Linked DNA regions of Arabidopsis thaliana. The protein of the gene in region 3 interacts with the protein of the main gene of each other region in a pairwise test. Each region holds a gene or a part of one and is shown on either strand. Other genes may lie near its edges. The genes, in order: AT3G46370, AT3G16180, DHAR1 and AT1G52550.

Region 1 (6,134 bases), on a different chromosome or scaffold from region 3:
GAACAATACGAAATCAAATAAAACATAAACGGTTAATTCGATGGACTGAAATAACCACCGCGAGTATCAAAACCGAACAAAACAAACTAGTTATACTTGTAATATGGCAAATATAGTTTATATTAATAAGAGTGTTTTCACGCCCGATCCAGAAATCGTGCGGTCCGATCGGTTAACCCGCGATCCGGACACCTCTCCATGGTTTAGTGTTAACATCTTGTAATTTTAATACCAAAAAACAACCACAAAAATCTGCCATTAACTCGTGATCTGGTGAACCGGTTCAACCGACCGGGTTTGAATTTAACAAAATTCATTTAATTTTTTGTTTTTTGGAATAAAATATAGGAGTTTAGTGTATTCAATGTTCAGTTATTTTAAGAACTTTTTCTAGTTCTTCCTTTTCTCAATCATCATGAAGACACTAATCCTTAAAAGTTAAATGGTATCAACAACTTAAGAGCTAGATTGTTTTACAATTAAACTACTTTCGTTTTTAATTTGAAATATTAGATATTTCGATAATAATATCTACAAATTTACTCCATATAATTTAAGGAAATTTATCATAGTGACCTATATTTTGTGTTTTATTACTAGAATGACATGCCAAAAATATGGGTTATATGTGTAATATTTATGTCTAAAATGCCCTTGTTTTGCTTTGTAGAATAAAATAATATTATAAGAATGCCATTAATAAAAACATTTATTTTTAAAAAAACTAAAATTTATTTACGATATTGCTACTCTGTCTTTTTACTAGATTTTGATAAATTTGTTGCTCTGGTTGCGACAATTTTGTTTTGGACCACATATTTTTTGGTCCACCATAGATTTTGTTTGACAGGCTTTTTTGTACCACAAACTTCTTTGAATATTTGAAGCATCTTGATGATTTTTTTTCGGGACAGATTTGTTTTATGTAGTCTCCCTAGATTTTTTTTCTAAAACTTTAATATCTTGAATGGTTGTGTAAGATACCTGCCACATATTTGTTTTTGAGCAGCAATTTTTTTATTGTGTTGGCAACATCTTGTTTTATTTAAACAAAAAAATACCGTTTAATAAAAAAAAATAAACCAAAGAAATGATTTATAATGAGGATAGATTTGTTTTATGTAATCACATACTTTATAAACTAGTCTATAAATCTGGCATTTTCGATTCACATAATGAATAACAGATTTGTTTTTAATCATGCTATTTATATTTTTCGGATCCAAAGCATAACATATTTTCTCATATCATATTATGCCCGATTTAATTATGACTAGAATAATTTTTTTAGTGATGACGGACTTTTCGTTAGCAGATTTGTTTTTAAAATTTTGATACATCTAGTTTCATGAGACTTATTATATAGCCTCTAGTAAAACTAAAGTACAACACAACTCCAAATCTTACCGTTTTGATTGTATGTTTACACTAGTTTGATTGCATTTGGTTACGACACATTTTTACTAGATCCAACAGATTTGTTAAGTTTAAATATCAAAATTCTTTATTTATTTATTTAAAAGGAATTTAATTAAAAACGTGATTAAAAGTTAGTTAGTCTTTCTACATAAAATTCGGGTTTGTATTATAGTTATTTACTTGGATTAGGAGTCATTTGTCATTTATGCTAAGATTTTAGTCAATCTGGATAAATCTCAATACTCCTATCTAGAAGTTTATCTAGTAATACTAGAAGTTTGACCTTGAATTTATGAGTTCAATGGGTTGAACCTGGTCGCTGGTTTAATGGTATCTCTCTTTTTCCTTTTGAGATAGAAGAAAAGAGACGAGAAAAAATTTGATACCATCAGTTCTGATTTTTTCATTTTATTTTTGGTTTAATTACTATTAACCTTTTTATTTATCTCTTTAAACAGGGTTCATCAGTTTTGATTGTGGGTTATCGCCGGATGAACAGTCTCCTTATAATGAGGAAACTGGATTACAGTTCTTATCAGATTCAAGTGTCATCCAAAGTGGACAAATTGGTAAAATTGATGCAAGTGTGGAGTGGAAGTACCCAAAGTCACAGACAACGTTGAGATACTTTCCAGACGGAATGCGAAACTGTTACAATCTTAGTGTGCATAAAGAAACAAAGTATTTGATTAGGGTTACAAGTAACTATGGAAATTACGATGGTCGTAACGAACCTCCTAGATTTGATTTGTACTTAGGCCCTAACTTCTGGGTAACAATAGATTTGGGGAAGCATGTAAATGGTGATACATGGAAGGAGATTATTCATATCCCAAAGTCAAACTCTCTAGATGTGTGTCTTATCAAAACAGGTACAACAACGCCAATTATATCGACCTTGGAACTAAGGTCTCTACCAAAGTATAGTTACAACGCAATATCAGGTTCTTTGAAGTCGACACTGAGGGCATTCCTAAGCGAATCAACAGAAGTTATAAGGTACGTCACCATTAAATTGATATTAAGGTTTTTTGACTCGTTCCATCGTCCATTGTTAATAATACAAGATTGTGTTGAAGCTCAGGTACCCAAATGATTTCTACGATCGGATGTGGGTTCCACATTTTGAGACGGAATGGAAGCAAATTTCTACCAATCTCAAAGTGAACAGCTCCAATGGTTATCTTCTGCCACAGGATGTGCTCATGACCGCCGCAATACCTGTGAATACTAGTGCACGATTGAGTTTTACCGAGAATCTTGAGTTCCCTCATGATGAACTTTACCTGTACTTCCACTTCTCTGAGGTCCAAGTCTTACAGGCCAACCAGAGTAGAGAGTTCAGCATTTTGTGGAACGGAATGGTTATTTACCCAGATTTTATCCCTGACTATCTTGGTGCCGCCACTGTGTACAACCCGTCACCATCTCTTTGTGAAGTAGGGAAATGCTTATTAGAGCTTGAAAGAACTCAGAAATCAACTCTCCCGCCTCTCCTTAACGCCATTGAAGTTTTCACAGTGATGAATTTTCCACAGTCTGAGACAAACGATGATGATGGTACTTTTTTTCTTCTTCTTAATGGTAGTTAAGTATTGTATGGGGAATGTGGTCTAAATCCAATTAACCTGTTTGTCGGGAAATTTTATGACAGTAATTGCTATAACAAAGATCAAAGACACACACAGATTGAATAGAACCTCCTGGCAAGGAGATCCATGCGTCCCTCAACTGTTTTCGTGGGCCGGTCTAAGTTGCATTGACACGAATGTATCTACCCCACCAAGAATCATTTCCCTGTAAGACCTCTATAACACAATCACTCTTTAGACTTGTGAGAAAAACTTGTCTAACTAAACTTATACTTGTTTATTTTTCTTCTTGTTTGGACTTATACACAGAAACTTGTCTTCAAGTGGGTTAACAGGAAACATAGCAACTGGAATTCAAAATCTGACCAAACTGCAAAAGCTGTAAGTATGACCATTTAAAGAAAAATGTTATATACGTCCGTTACCTTTCTTATTGATTTCTTACAAACTTCAGGGACTTGTCAAATAACAATTTGACAGGAGTAGTGCCCGAATTTCTAGCTAACATGAAATCGTTGCTGTTCATGTAAGTTTCCCAAAAGGTTTTGGTGGTTTTTTTCCCATGGATCATCTTCACCTAAGTATGTAGATTTCTCTGGTTTTAACAGAGACTTGAGGAAGAACAAACTGAATGGTTCAATACCAAAGACTCTACTTGATAGAAAAAAGAAAGGACTACAATTATTGTAAGAAGGAAATTCATCCACGCACATTTTAATTCAAGATCCATTGCCTTGTTAAATTCATCAAAACACTAAAAGATCGATATATTATTTTTGTAGTGTTGATGGCGATGATGATAAGGGCGATGATAATAAGTGTTTATCCGGTTCATGTGTCCCAAAAATGAAATTCCCATTGATGATTGTTGCATTAGCGGTTTCTGCGGTTGTGGTCATTGCAGTGGTAATGATTCTCATTTTTCTGTTCAGAAAGAAAAAGAAATCAAGTTTAGGTATTTGCATAGACTCACCAAATATTAACTAACAAACTATACAATATAAATTAAAATGTCACTGATATTGTTGTTTCTCTACATATATCTATCCCCTTTTCTTGTTATGCCACAAATAGGTATTACGTCAGCTGCTATATCTGAAGAATCGATTGAGACGAAAAGGAGAAGGTTTACCTATTCTGAAGTTGTGGAAATGACAAAAAACTTCCAAAAAACTCTAGGTGAAGGAGGGTTCGGAACCGTGTATTATGGTAATTTGAATGGTTCAGAGCAAGTAGCGGTTAAAGTACTCTCGCAATCATCATCACAGGGCTATAAACACTTCAAGGCAGAGGTATGATATGCCATAAATCGTCTATAGAATCGCACAAAATTTAAAAGAAATCATGATCTATATAGATATATATTTAGCATCACGTTAAGCAAACATATTTTGTCATTGTTGGTCTATAGGTCGAACTTCTTTTAAGAGTTCACCACATAAATTTGGTGAGTCTTGTTGGATATTGCGATGAAAGAAATCACTTGGCCCTCATCTACGAATGCATGTCCAATGGAGACTTAAAAGATCATTTGTCAGGTGAAAGATGTATATATGCAAATATAAATATATATATATATATATATATATATATATATATATATATATATTATATAAAATTCATAGGACGGTTAATTTTGACAATCTAATACAGGAAAAAAGGGTAACGCTGTTTTGAAATGGAGTACTAGACTACGAATAGCTGTCGATGCTGCGCTAGGTTCGTACTAACTCAAAACAGTTCCAGTGACTTGTCATTTTATATCAATTAGTTACTAATTGTATGCATTTGATACATCTGTTACAAACTTCTCATGATGAATTATTTCCATCAATTTTTACTCACTGGAATTTCTGACATGATCAACTAACAACATGAATGAGTCTCCTGCACAGGATTGGAATACTTGCATTATGGATGTCGACCATCGATAGTGCATAGAGATGTCAAAAGTACCAATATACTGCTGGATGATCAGCTCATGGCCAAAATTGCTGATTTTGGGCTTTCAAGATCATTCAAACTCGGAGAAGAATCACAGGCTTCCACGGTTGTTGCTGGTACTCTTGGATACCTTGATCCCGAGTAAGTACTATTAGTTCACTCCCATGATAAATATGTGTGTAATTTATGTCTACATTCATCTTCATCGTTTATATAGAGGTATACATATAAATCCTACTTCATCTCTTTGTTTTCCAGATATTATAGAACATGTCGGTTGGCTGAGATGAGTGATGTATACAGTTTCGGTATTTTACTACTAGAGATAATCACAAACCAAAATGTGATTGACCATGCCCGCGAAAAGGCTCACATTACAGAATGGGTAGGACTTGTGCTTAAGGGAGGAGATGTTACTAGGATTGTTGATCCTAACCTTGACGGTGAATATAACTCTCGTTCAGTTTGGAGAGCTCTTGAATTGGCTATGTCATGCGCCAACCCTTCTTCAGAACATCGACCAATCATGTCCCAGGTTGTTATCGATCTAAAAGAGTGTTTAAATACTGAAAACTCAATGAAAATAAAGAAAAATGACACGGACAATGATGGTTCTCTGGAACTGAGCTCGAGTGATACTGAGGCGGTCCCTTGTGCAAGGTAGTATTTACATAGACGCTTTGCCTACGTTGATGTGTTTCTGTTGGAAGTGATCAAGTCATGCATCATCTTACTTTATTGTTTTAGAAGAGTCATATATTATATAGTTAAGTAACTGATTAATGTATATTCGTATCACACATCGAAGAGATACGAATATAATTGTTAACTACAAAACAATTACATGTGTGTATGTGTCTCTACATTACGTTGTCTTCTAGAGACGTGTTCCTTAGTGAAAGTGTGTCATATAAACCTATAAATACAGTTTGTATATCTAATAAAAGTGTGTGGTTTTCGTTTTATAAAAACAAAGTGAAATATAGAGTAAGACAAAACAGAGTAAAATCTGTGTTGACCGATCCTTAACAACTTTGAGAGTTCAAAGTTCTACATGGTATCAGAGCTATGGAGACAACAATGCAGCAAGTTATTCCAATCTTCAATGGTGAATCGTATGGCTTTTGAAAAATCAAGATGATAACCATCTTGAAAACAAGGAAGTTGTGGGATGTTATC
Region 2 (6,144 bases), on a different chromosome or scaffold from region 3:
TTTTTATTCACTTTTTGTTTTTAAATTATTCTAATGTTCTAAGAAATTATTTTAAGAGATTTTTTTAATAGCAGGATAATCTAATGTTGAATTCTTGATGTATTGATTAATTACGATTTTTTTTAAAAACTAAATTAGGTATTTGGTATTGAAACTGTTCATGTGGATGCATGAAAGACCACAAATAAATTTTTGGATAATGAAATTTCATTTTTGGTTCCTACTAGCGAGTCTTCTGCCATCATCAGACACCGCACTTAATTTTGTACGAACTTTTTCATTCAAATCTGGTTGCACCATTTTTAATTTTGTACTGAACATAAGTACTTTACTTATAATCTGGTTTAGGCAGAAACTTTCAAATACTTGTATCATTTAACTTGGAAACGTAATTACTTAGCGTATAATGATATATAGCCTGTAGGATATAGAATCACAAATTAGTGATAAGTATTTTGATACAGTAGTTTATATCCTCAGAATCTAACAGTATGATATTGTTTAGCAATATATAATGTTTTGTGAATAATGAATGTTAGTTTTCTTTGCATTCATTATTTGGATTAAGTCACATAAGAAAATATAATTGTTAATTTGGAATGGATAGTTTAACCGATTAGATACGAGTAACTTTATAAGATGGGGTTCGTCTTAAAGTCGACATTAGCAGGGAAAACTACTAATTTAATCTCTTGGTCGAAGTTACTATACATCGTAAAGTCCGAAACTTCTTAGATACATAGAAAATTATACAGTTAAACATATACTATTATTCATATTTTTGTTAAAACATAAACTATTATTCATGAGGTCAATTGTTACATGGGTTTGGTAAACTTTCGTATGCTATTATTTTATTATATTCTTTGGGCCGACTCTTTGAGATGTTGACTTATTAGTGTGATAAGGAGAAAGCGAATTAAAAAAAACTTTATATATGATTGCACTTACTTTAATGAATCCATTTTTTAACTTTAAACTGAAAAAAAAGAATTGAATAACAAAAAGTTTCAATTTGTCAAGAAAAGAGGAAGAGAGAGAGCCAAAACAAAAGCTGTTAACCTCATGGGATGTTTTCCATTCTCAATTATTAGTAAACTTTTGTTATGATTTTTGATCCGTTCCTTTCGATAATTGGATGTGATTTGTGGAAAGCCATTTACATGTTTAGTTACAGTATAATGATATAGTTGAAGCTCTCATAAACTTTTTAAGAGTTTAAGTCTGATTAGAAGACATCTTTAGAAGATAATACAATATTGAAATTCTTGTGATTGATTCTTCTACATTGCAAATTCACTTCCAACAACTATTTCATCAAAAAATCTATAGAATAGTTATGGTTTCGAAGTATATAACATTAACATATTTAACTAATTTGAAATGTACATAAATAATAATAAATTGGATTTATTTCAAAAATAAGTCAATAACACCAGACCATTTTATGTTTGACGTAAGTAACATGGATGATGGAACATTGGAAGTTTGATGTACAATGTACTGTTTTTTTCTTTTCTCTTCTTTTTGAAATATCTATGTAAGTTAATCTTCTCCATTTTAGATATTTTCTTCACAAAAAAACGAATATTTCTGGCATTTATGTTTCAACTTGTATTTAGCTAAGATTAGGAAAATGACGTTTTATCTAACTTTTTTTCTTTCATACTACTAACAAATCATTTCTAAGTTCTAACTAAGAATGAAAATTGTCGTGTGCCATATAGGATAAAACCTCACTCTATAAAAATCATTATGATAAATTAATTAATAAAATTAAAAAATTAAAAAACAATTTGCCTTGAGGGAAAAAGAAAATGTAGTATTTAAATAACAGCCATTTATTATTGCTCACTCGTCGCAGAAAACAGAGATTCCTCGCTGTCTGAACTGAAAAATAAGATCGCATTAACTCAAAACTCTCACAAAGACAAAGATCTTCTCCTCCTTCTCTTCTCTTTTTCACTTTTCTCTCTTCCCCTCTCTCGAAGCTTGAAAGGTAACAACAATGGAGAACCCTCCGGATCAAACAGAGTCAAAGGAGACTCTTCAACAACCCATTACAAGAAGAAGAACAAAGGGTGGTCTTCTCACTATGCCCTTCATCATTGGTAACAAACGATCTCTCTCACTTTTTTAGACAAAAACCCAAATCTTGTTACTAATTTTATCTCATCTTGTTTGTTACTCGGTGAAGCAAACGAGGGGTTCGAGAAAGTGGCGAGCTATGGATTATTACAGAACATGATTCTTTATCTGATGAGTGATTACAGATTGGGACTTGTTAAAGGACAAACTGTCTTGTTCATGTGGGTTGCTGCTACTAATTTCATGCCTCTCGTTGGAGCTTTTCTCTCAGATTCATATTTGGGTCGCTTTCTCACCATTGTCATTGCTTCTCTCTCCAGTCTCCTGGTAATTTCCGTCCCCTATTTAACCGGTTTACGCTTCTTCTTTCTCCCGGTTTACTCCGGTTCAATTTTTTAGCCACTTCTTTGACTCAACATTTTTCACCACCTAGTTAGCCTTTGGTTTGGAAATGCTTTGTTTATGTTTACTGTCAGTAAAGGTTGAGTTTTATTAAAATTGGGAATCTAAACCGAAAGTTTCGGTTTAAGTTGATTTGGGTGAAATATCGTGCTTGTATTCAGTGTTTTATTACTTGGCTTTAGACAATTGGACCTTACTTACATGCATTGATAATTGGAGTTAAATTCCGGTTTGATAGTTTTCGATAATTGGACTTGACTTTACTTGCGTCGACAACAAAAAGAGAATTCCATAAAATCTAACCAAGTCATAGAATTAAGGGCCAAGAATTAAATGGTACGAGGTTTTGTATGTAATTATTTAATTATTTTATATTCTCGAAATAGTAAAAAAAAGATTGGTATGGTAAATTTCAGGGGTTTTTACTAAAATTTTATAACTTTTTACCGTTGGTTTTGCTAAATCATTGATAGCTGTATATTTCTGCTTTAAGTACTATAATATCTAATGATAATCATCTACAGTGAAATTTCTAATTTAAGAGTTGATATGATTAAGCTTTTTAGAAGCCTTTTTCCATTAAGAGTCAAAATTTTCACATGTTGCATGTGCTTCCCTGAAATTGCTGTCCAATGAATGGAGAAACTAAACCCGCTTTGATTTGTTTTTAATATTTGTGTCCATCAAAAATATAAAAGTCGGTAAAATTAAATTCGAAGCCAGGTGTTCTGAAATGTCCATGTGAGTTTATATAATAACAGGTCTTAAATAATCATAAAGTATTTAATATCATTATTAATTCCTTAAAATCTTGTTTGTTGCTTTCCTTGTGGTTATGGTCTTGTGGGCTTTCTCTGGCAACTTGTGTGATTGTGAGTGACCACACTGCTTGCATCTCTCTATGTATAAAAAATATCATTTTGTTATTACTTTTTGTTGTATGTAGACTTAGAGTTTCATTATTTATATGTCCAAATATATGGGTCAAGCTGACGTGGACCTACATTTTGCCACCATTTAAGGATTTGACATTAGTTTTTTGGCCAACATATAAGTGTTAGACATGAAAGCAATATCGATTGGTGACCCATGTTTTTGTACTACTTGTCCCATTCTTGATCAAACTTATTATTTCACCCACTTGGAAAAAAAAACTTATCATATACATAGTGACATCAATTGATTTTGAAATCTCTACATCAATCATTCATCTCGAGTATCAATCATTTTCCGTAAGAAAATAATGTTTTCGTATGATGGATGTGACAATTGACGTACGTGTAGATTCTGATCTAATACTTGGATTCTTGTTCTTGGAAGTACTTTTTTTGGAAGACATCTACAGATTTTACGAATGAAGTGATAACTACATTTTTATTATGAAAAACAAAAACGTCAAAATCTAACCTACTACATTGTTTTAATAAATTTGTCTGAATCAAAAATGTTACAGGGGATGGTGGTTCTATGGCTAACGGCGATGTTGCCGCAAGTAAAACCATCACCGTGTGTAGCAACAGCCGGAACCAACTGCAGTTCCGCGACATCTTCTCAATTGGCTCTCTTGTATACCGCATTCGCATTAATATCGATTGGATCAGGAGGAATCAGGCCATGTTCTTTAGCCTTTGGTGCTGATCAATTGGACAACAAAGAGAATCCTAAGAACGAGAGAGTTCTTGAGAGTTTCTTTGGTTGGTACTACGCTTCTTCATCAGTTGCTGTCTTGATCGCTTTCACCGTCATTGTTTACATTCAAGATCATCTAGGATGGAAAATCGGGTTTGGAATACCCGCGATTCTCATGCTGCTCGCGGGTTTCTTGTTTGTTTTCGCGTCTCCTCTCTACGTTAAGCGCGATGTGAGCAAGAGTCTGTTCACTGGTTTAGCTCAAGTGGTTGCTGCAGCTTACGTGAAGAGAAACTTAACTTTGCCGGATCATCATGACTCCAGAGATTGTTATTACCGTTTGAAAGATTCTGAACTCAAAGCTCCAAGTGACAAATTGAGGTAAAGTGAAATCAGTTTCACATATATAGTTCTTGGTTAGTTTTTTTATTTATTGATACTTTCTTGCAATTGCTTAGGTTTTTAAACAAAGCTTGTGCCATAAGTAACCGCGATGAAGACCTTGGTTCTGATGGTTTGGCCTTAAACCAGTGGAGGCTATGCACAACGGACCAAGTTGAGAAACTCAAGGCGTTGGTCAAGGTGATACCGGTATGGTCCACGGGGATAATGATGTCGATAAACGTTAGCCAGAACTCTTTTCAGTTGCTTCAAGCTAAATCAATGGACAGACGTTTAAGCAGCAATTCGACCTTCCAAATCCCAGCTGGATCGTTTGGTATGTTCACAATCATAGCCTTAATCTCATGGGTTGTTCTGTACGACCGCGCAATTCTCCCTTTAGCTTCAAAGATCCGAGGCAGACCAGTTAGAGTCAATGTCAAGATTCGAATGGGATTAGGGCTATTCATATCATTCTTAGCAATGGCGGTTTCCGCAACTGTTGAACATTACAGAAGGAAAACCGCGATAAGCCAAGGACTCGCAAACGATGCCAACTCAACAGTGAGCATCTCAGCAATGTGGCTTGTACCACAGTATGTACTACACGGTTTAGCAGAGGCCTTGACCGGGATAGGACAGACCGAGTTTTTCTATACCGAGTTTCCTAAAAGCATGTCGAGTATCGCAGCTTCGTTGTTCGGTCTAGGAATGGCAGTGGCTAATATCTTGGCTAGTGTGATCCTAAATGCGGTAAAGAATAGCTCAAAGCAGGGCAATGTGAGCTGGATTGAAGATAACATCAACAAGGGTCACTATGACTATTACTATTGGGTTTTAGCGATCTTGAGCTTCGTTAATGTCATCTACTACGTTGTGTGTAGCTGGTCCTATGGTCCTACGGTGGATCAGGTGAGGAATGATAAGGTTAATGGTATGAGAAAAGAAGAAGAGGAAGTTATTAAATTAAACTAAGACCAATTGGTTGATCATAATTAAATGGTGTACGTGTGTTATAAAATTCTATATATTTGTATGTAATTAGATTATTATATCATGGATTTGGATTTTCTTAGGATGTAGAGGTTGATGTTAATTAATGGGTCGTGTGTTTATTTAATTATTACAAAAAAAAAAAAAACATTGTGTGTATGATATTTGATTGAAGAGAATCAAATTTTCAAAATGGTGATTTGTGGTGTTTTTGACTTTGGGAAATTGAATCACTTAAATTAAGAAAAAATCAAAGCTTACTAAGAGTAGAAACATTTTGTATGGCTTTGACGCTAAGTGGAGCCATCCACAATCTTCCTGTGGCTATAATTTCTCCACTTGTTTCTCTTCTAATCTCAATCACAGCTGATTTTAATCCTCCATTGCTTCCATTCACTCTTGCTTCTATCTCTACCGTTTCCTGCAATTTTGTAGTTTTTTCTTATCATTATTACTTCTAATCATTACTAATAATAGTAATTTACCTAATTTAGTAGTTTGCATGTTTCATAACAAAAAAAACGAGAGAAAAATGAGGATAGGGAAAGCGAACGTGAATCTTGGCCGTTGAATAAAACGAAGAGTTGAGATCAACAGAGATATGGAGTCCGCCGCCGGAGGAGTACACAGCTGACGCTCCGATCGAGTCCA
Region 3 (3,397 bases):
CCAATGGTTACATTGTCTCCAATTATGGTTGGGTGCACCTTCCCGCTTAAGTTTGATTTTGCCACATGCACAAGTGAGTTGTCCTGAATATTAGTTCCTGACCCAACACTTACGGTGTTCACATCGCCTGCGCAGAAAAAAAGAGAGAAAGCAAGTTTAGATTGTATGTTATCCCAGTTTCCTGGTAAAGTACTAACAGGCTTAGCCATACAGTACCAATGTGTTATGACATGAAAGCATTCTGTAAAAAGGACAACCCTATTTCATCACCATTAAATAAAAATCCAGACTAGCCAACTCATACTCGCAATAAGGATTCAACTCAAACTCAATAATCTGTATATGATATCGTTCAACTAATTCTGGTGTTATGACATGAAAGCATTCTGTATATGATTGGGGATATCATATACCCAATCACCCATTAGAGCAACTGCCAGTATCATCAAGATACGATATGTAGTAATGATCTGTTTAAGATCCTTCAATAAAGCTAGAAAGCTCCATTTTGAGTAGTAGTCTTGTTCATCGCTTAACCAGAAGAGTAAAAAACAGATATTCGTTCACTATTTTCTATCGTAAGAGTTGACACAGCTAAGGATACAGAAGTAGATACTATTTCAAACAAAACTTCAGTCACTAAAATAGTCAACCACCAAACACCAAACATTGAGGCTTAGTAGCTAGCTCACCTCGTAATACGCATCCATACCAAATGGACGATCCTCTTCCAATGTGAACGTCCCCAATAACTGAGGCGCTTGGTGCCACAAAAGCTTCCTTGTCCACAATCGGAGCCTTATCAAATACATTCATCAGTGTCCGATGCCTTGACACTACACAGAGAAAACCACAATTACATATAAGCAAATTTCGTGACCAGGAAACAAAAAAAAAACTAAGCAGCAAAACACATTCCACATCAATTAATCCCTTGTGCCATTCGAATCCAGAATCGCTATACCTACAAAGACATCAATTCCAGATCTCTAACCTAACCAGAATAGGTGAGCTGAATTACCCAATCGAAACTCCTCACTCTTTACGAATTCGAAATCGGAGTGAAAAATAGAGTTACGCAGAATCTTACGTTGTTCTCGGAAGTAATTTTTGCCTTGAAGGCGACAACCGAGGCGATCAAGAGCTTGACCAGTCTCACGGATCCAAAAACCGACCGAGTAAAATGCTCTGCCTAGGGTTCCCATTGATCGTCACTTTCTTCGAGCTCACAGGTAAACGAGGACTCAACACTGAATGAAGAAGACGAAAATGGTCGAAGCTGAAGAAGAGACGGAAGAAAAAAAATCAGCGAAAATGGATTTCAACAGGAACATTCCGGGACGGCGAAACAATAAATTACAGTTACAGTGGTTTAATATGGTTTAATCGAACCAAAACAATACGAAATATGAACCAAATCTAATTCGATATTTCAGGTAGTAGTTTCATTAAACCGATTATATTATTCGGTACGAATTTATTACTATATTTTCACTAAATTGAACGGTCCAAAACCTGCCGACCAAAAATCAAATGGCCCTATCAGTAACAATGTCGTTTCGTATCGTCGTCACTTGCAACGCATAACACGTGAGAAAAGATAAACATCGGGTAAAAATGGCCCACTGGTGGGTGGAGAATGGTAATAATTCAGTTTAAAAGCTAAGCCTTCTCACTGATTAACTCAATCATTCATCCGTCTCTGCAAACAAAGGAAGAAGAATCAAGATGGCTCTGGAAATCTGTGTGAAAGCTGCTGTTGGTGCTCCTGATCATCTCGGCGACTGTAACCATCTTCTCTTTCTCTCTCTGTTTTTGTTTTGCATTAAGCTTTTGATTTTGCAATTCTTAATTTCTGAGCTTTGATCGTTGGTAAATTTACTAATTTAAGTGTTTGTTTGTCGTTTTAGGTCCGTTCAGCCAACGGGCTCTTCTCACACTCGAGGAGAAGAGTCTTACCTACAAAATCCATCTGATTAACCTCTCTGACAAACCCCAGTGGTCAGTTTCTCTCACGCCTAAACCCTTAAGATCGGTCTAGTTTGAACTTGTTTAGCCATAATCTCTGAAATTTTACTTGTAACTGGTACGAGCTTTGTGTTAACCGGAAATTGGATTGGCTTCATGTGCGAGCATTGTGTTAACCGGAACTTGAAATTGGTGGCTTTGGTTTTATATATGATGCAGGTTCTTGGACATTAGTCCTCAAGGGAAAGTACCAGTGCTTAAGATCGACGACAAGTGGGTGACTGATTCCGACGTCATCGTTGGTATACTCGAGGAGAAGTATCCTGATCCACCACTCAAGACTCCTGCTGAATTTGCCTCTGTTGGATCCAACATTTTTGGTACTTTTGGGACATTCTTGAAGAGCAAAGACTCCAATGACGGATCTGAACATGCCTTGCTTGTTGAGCTAGAAGCTTTGGAAAACCATCTTAAGAGTCACGATGGCCCTTTTATCGCCGGAGAAAGAGTTTCCGCAGTGGATCTAAGCTTAGCACCAAAGCTTTACCACCTTCAAGTTGCTCTTGGCCATTTCAAAAGCTGGTCTGTCCCTGAGAGCTTTCCCCATGTCCATAACTACATGAAGACTCTGTTCTCGCTCGACTCTTTTGAGAAAACTAAGACCGAGGAAAAGTATGTGATCTCTGGATGGGCTCCCAAGGTTAACCCTTGAAACTATGCACCGTTATGAGATCGTTGGTGTGGTAATGTTGTTCAAGGTCTCTCTCTTATATCAGTCAAATAATGTACTTGGACCTTTTTATGTAATGTACTGTATCAATCAAATAAGAAGCCTATTTTGAAATAAGATTTGCCTCCATATCGAAACTCGGATAAACACTGGCTACACGTAACATAAGGGACAAGGGTTTTTTCAGACAAATTATTTAAGAAACTCATCGACAGTACTTGTGTACTTGACCTCAGGATAAAGCTCAGAAGTCTTAACTCCAAAAGAAGGATCTATAGTCAAGGAGGTAAAGTCGCTCTTCGCAAGGACCGTATGGATCAAACCCACAAAAAAATCCATTGGAGGCTGGGTCTCTGCAAATGCAAGTGACTCGTTTAATACTTTGGAGTTTGGACTGATGAATATTGGATATCAGAAACTGTTTTTATGGTTTAACTGATCACCTTTGATGGTTTTGAGGAGTTCTTCCTCAGAAACATAAGTCTTGTCGAGACTCGAGAGTCTTACCGATCTTTACATCCCACAAATCAACCATATCGTTCTGCGATACAATGTTCTTGGGCGGGTGAATGTAGGGTTGGGTGAGATTTTCCAAGAATGTTCCTGGGAGAAGGCAGTTATAGTCGCACCGTCAGCAGTCGTAAGGTAATCGGATTTTATTGTGGATGACCAGCGATTTTCATGATTTGCATCAAATTG
Region 4 (3,484 bases), about 13 Mb from region 3:
TGGTCGGAAATCGACATAATCCAATGAAGCTAAACAGATTCATGGCTACTTCGGCTGGTGAACAAGAGGATAAGATGAACACAGAAGTGAGTGTGTCTGAGAAGAAATCTCCTCGACAGAATTTCCCCCGGAGACGTGGCCGAAAAAGCCTCTGGCGTAACACCGACGATCATGGCTACTTCACTCCCACCCTAAATGGTACGTTTGTCATTTTAGTTCATTATTGATATACCTATTTAGCAGAAAATTTCAATAGTGTCACAATAATAATATTTTCGAAATAAATTATATAAAAAAAATTCAACATTTAAGTGTAAAATATATCCCATAAAAGAAAAATTAAGAAGAAAATTTGAAATTCTAGAATCATAAAAATACATCAAATTTTAAATTTACATTTTCATTGCATTAAATCTCATGAAACATAATTAATGTAAACCTCTATTTTTGCTTGAATTGAATTTTTTCTTCTTCTTAAAACAGAGTTCTTTCCTCCGACTATAGGAAATACTCTGATACAAGCAACAGAGAATATGAACAGAATTTTCGACAACTTCAACGTGAATCCATTCCAACTAATGGGTCAAGTGAAAGAGCAAGACGACTGTTACAAGCTCAGATACGAGGTTCCAGGGCTAACCAAAGAAGACGTGAAGATCACGGTAAATGATGGAATCTTGACGATTAAAGGAGATCACAAGGCGGAGGAAGAGAAAGGCTCACCTGAGGAAGACGAGTACTGGTCTTCAAAGAGTTATGGTTACTACAACACGAGCTTATCGTTGCCTGATGATGCTAAGGTTGAGGACATTAAGGCGGAGCTCAAGAATGGTGTGCTTAATCTTGTGATTCCTAGGACGGAGAAGCCAAAGAAGAATGTTCAGGAGATTTCTGTTGAGTAGAAGAGATACGGTGTCGTTTTTGTGTTCTTTGATGGACTAAGCAAATTAATGTTGTACCTTTTTTATGTTTATGCGAATGGAATCAGTTATTAAGTTGCTAATTAACTTAGTTCATTTGCGCAAACAAAAGAAGCTAGAAAATACATTATAGACTAATTGAACAAGCAAAGAATGAACCAGTTTTGTGTTTGTAATGAGAATGGAATAAATTGTTATTCAGCATAGTTAATTTTCGCAAAAGAAAGAAGCCAAAATTAATTAAAAGAAGCAGCAAATGTTGTGTCCCTTTTATGTTTTCTATGCGAATGGCTCAATGGAGTAAATTGCTAATTCACGTCATGAACACAAAAATGTTGATATATTAAACAAGAAGTCCATTTTTGTACCTCATATCAAAATTTTATTTGTAAATTTTGTATTAATAATTGTGGATTTGCTATACTATACTATGAAATATTTTTCTTTATAGACAAGTTATGTTATACATTAAATTATTTATTTATTAATAAGTACAGTATTTTAGTGTATTGTCAGAGTTCAGTTTCTTTAAAGAAAACACAATATTTTTTTTTTTTGTCGTCAAGAAAACACAATATTTATGTTAAACAAAAATGCATGATATTTCAATAGTTTGTGGAAAATTATAGAAAATATTTCATTTTCCTTCTTTTAGTTTGGTATTAAGAAGGAAAAAACCAAAAACATTTTTTTGATAATGTATACATAAATTAAAATTAAAATAATGAGAAAACAAAACAAGGTCCAAAATACCTTGTGAAGAAAATGGCGACGGCGTTTGCCAACACGACTTCAAGCTCCAACCTTTACCTCCATCGCTGCCGTAAAAACCATCCTCTTCCATCTCCGTCGTTCTTTTCACCGTTCCGGTCGTCTCCACTTCCTTCTCAGACCCTTTTCCTCGTCCCCACTCCAAAACCTGTACGACGCATCGCGGTCGCTCCTCTCGGCCCTCCAACGCCGCCTAGTCCCGACCCACCTCCGCCTAAAAACACGACTGAGCTCACAAGTTCGTCTTTCCCTTCTTACCCTTAAAACTTCAATGTTTCAACTCTGAGTTCTGATTTTGTTTACTGCCAATTCTATTTTTCAATCTTTCCTAATTCGATGAAATTGCATTACGGAATTCGAATTAGGAGAATGAAGGTGGTTTAACTGCTATTGATTCGTAGATAAAGATGTTAATCTTAGTCCTCAAGATCGATTACTGTTCATTGCTAAAGTTTTGATCTTTGTGACAATTTATAGACTTTTACTCTTGTTAAGCATTAAGGATTTATAAATCTCCTCCTTTTACAACTTGTGAATGTCTTCCAAAAGTTCCACCATTTTCTTTTCCCTACAGGTTTAGTCATTGGTTGCAATACGAGAGCAATCTTCTTAACAATTTGGATTCATAGTTGTTGTTTGGTATCACATTTTGTGTAGGTCTTGTGGGAGTAGCGTCGATGATTCAAGACCGTGTAAAGATCTTTCTTTCAGTACTAATTTGGATCTCTCTCTTCTTTTGGGCTTCGGCTTTACAAGGAAGAGGCAGCAAAGGTAATGGTAAAGGGAAGAAGGGTTCACGCTTCAAATAGTATTAGTTAGATTGGTGTGGTGATGATGATGATGATTGATGAAAACTCCTCTACACGTTTGTGTATATATACAGAGGAAATATTCTTCCAAGTAAAGCAAATTTCTTGTCAGACTACAGTTTTATACTAGAAACTAGATTGTTCTCTTCTTACGATATCTCTAGCTTAGAGCTATAGAGATTACTCTACTGTGATGAAACTAAAGTAGTTTGCATTTAAGTCAAAATGCCAAATCAATATCATTGTTTATTGAAAGCTGTTTCAGATTGTAAATGACTAGATGTGTTTGGTGTGTGCTTGATTCAGCCAAACGGTAAACCGCACCGTTTCTTTGATTTGAATGTTTGTTGTATAAAATGGGCCTTTAGATATGTTATATAACTTGTTTGGGCTTCAACATACTCTTTTATTGGGCCTCTCTATATAATATAATATTTCCAAAGTTGTATTTAATTATTATTTGATTTATATTTAAAACAGTGGTTGTTTATTCATGATATGAAAAAAGAAATAACTGGATTTAGGTAAACCTTATTCAATACTGGGACAATGAATTAACCAGCTCATGATTAGTTGGACCTGTTTTGGTTAAAGGCTGGTAGTAAGTTTAGAAACAGAAATTTATGATAAGAGCCTAACATTTTGTTCTGACCACACTGAGTAATTTAACAATCTATCTAAATTAAGATTTTATGCTATGTTTAATTTATATTTGTTCTGATTATAGCAAATAAATTTCCATATCTAGAGATCTTCTTCATACACAATAAAAAAAACTAGTATTTGAACTTTTGTATGTATTAAAAATTGCAAGATTTTGTAAGTACAGATTCACCAAGGTGAGGTGTGTGATTAGGAAACTTTGATTAGTTGTCATGTGTCATCAACAGGCCATGAAAAGGAAATCTTTGAAATTCAAAAAACAATACCTTTTGATGAAATTATTACTATATAAATACTATATGTGACTATGTGTGGATATGC

Evidence for each region.
Region 1: the proteins of DHAR1 (region 3) and AT3G46370 interact in a protein complementation assay, tested with the Arabidopsis thaliana proteins (one large-scale study listed by BioGRID).
Region 2: the proteins of DHAR1 (region 3) and AT3G16180 interact in a protein complementation assay, tested with the Arabidopsis thaliana proteins (one large-scale study listed by BioGRID).
Region 4: the proteins of DHAR1 (region 3) and AT1G52550 interact in a protein complementation assay, tested with the Arabidopsis thaliana proteins (one large-scale study listed by BioGRID).

Annotation. Positions count from the first base shown.
Region 1 is NC_003074.8:17,049,896-17,056,029, forward strand, and holds AT3G46370 (Leucine-rich repeat protein kinase family protein), read left to right. Parts: upstream 1-1,624; 5' UTR 1,625-2,059; coding exon 2,060-2,418; intron 2,419-2,503; coding exon 2,504-2,979; intron 2,980-3,073; coding exon 3,074-3,218; intron 3,219-3,320; coding exon 3,321-3,392; intron 3,393-3,465; coding exon 3,466-3,537; intron 3,538-3,619; coding exon 3,620-3,697; intron 3,698-3,793; coding exon 3,794-3,966; intron 3,967-4,085; coding exon 4,086-4,303; intron 4,304-4,422; coding exon 4,423-4,549; intron 4,550-4,664; coding exon 4,665-4,730; intron 4,731-4,906; coding exon 4,907-5,096; intron 5,097-5,213; coding exon 5,214-5,619; downstream 5,620-6,134.
Region 2 is NC_003074.8:5,480,808-5,486,951, reverse strand, and holds AT3G16180 (Major facilitator superfamily protein), read left to right. Parts: upstream 1-1,764; 5' UTR 1,765-2,008; coding exon 2,009-2,111; intron 2,112-2,197; coding exon 2,198-2,415; intron 2,416-2,421; exon of another isoform or gene 2,422-3,935; intron 3,936-3,943; coding exon 3,944-4,500; intron 4,501-4,577; coding exon 4,578-5,475; 3' UTR 5,476-5,627; downstream 5,628-6,144. Other genes in the region: AT3G16175 (Thioesterase superfamily protein), read right to left, coding at 5,744-5,914, 6,047-6,144. UniProt on the Arabidopsis thaliana protein: Low-affinity nitrate transporter involved in xylem-to-phloem transfer for redistributing nitrate into developing leaves. Not involved in dipeptides transport.
Region 3 is NC_003070.9:6,772,745-6,776,141, reverse strand, and holds DHAR1 (dehydroascorbate reductase), read left to right. Parts: upstream 1-1,618; 5' UTR 1,619-1,728; coding exon 1,729-1,786; intron 1,787-1,910; coding exon 1,911-2,001; intron 2,002-2,187; coding exon 2,188-2,680; 3' UTR 2,681-2,840; downstream 2,841-3,397. Other genes in the region: GAMMA CA1 (gamma carbonic anhydrase 1), read right to left, coding at 2-127, 693-836, 1,091-1,205; AT1G19565 (uncharacterized protein), read left to right, coding at 3,011-3,063, 3,172-3,263. UniProt on the Arabidopsis thaliana protein: Displays a dual function. As a soluble protein, exhibits glutathione-dependent thiol transferase and dehydroascorbate (DHA) reductase activities. Key component of the ascorbate recycling system.
Region 4 is NC_003070.9:19,572,201-19,575,684, reverse strand, and holds AT1G52550 (uncharacterized protein), read left to right. Parts: upstream 1-1,625; 5' UTR 1,626-1,685; coding exon 1,686-1,929; intron 1,930-2,348; coding exon 2,349-2,500; 3' UTR 2,501-2,930; downstream 2,931-3,484. Other genes in the region: AT1G52560 (HSP20-like chaperones superfamily protein), read left to right, coding at 1-198, 484-902.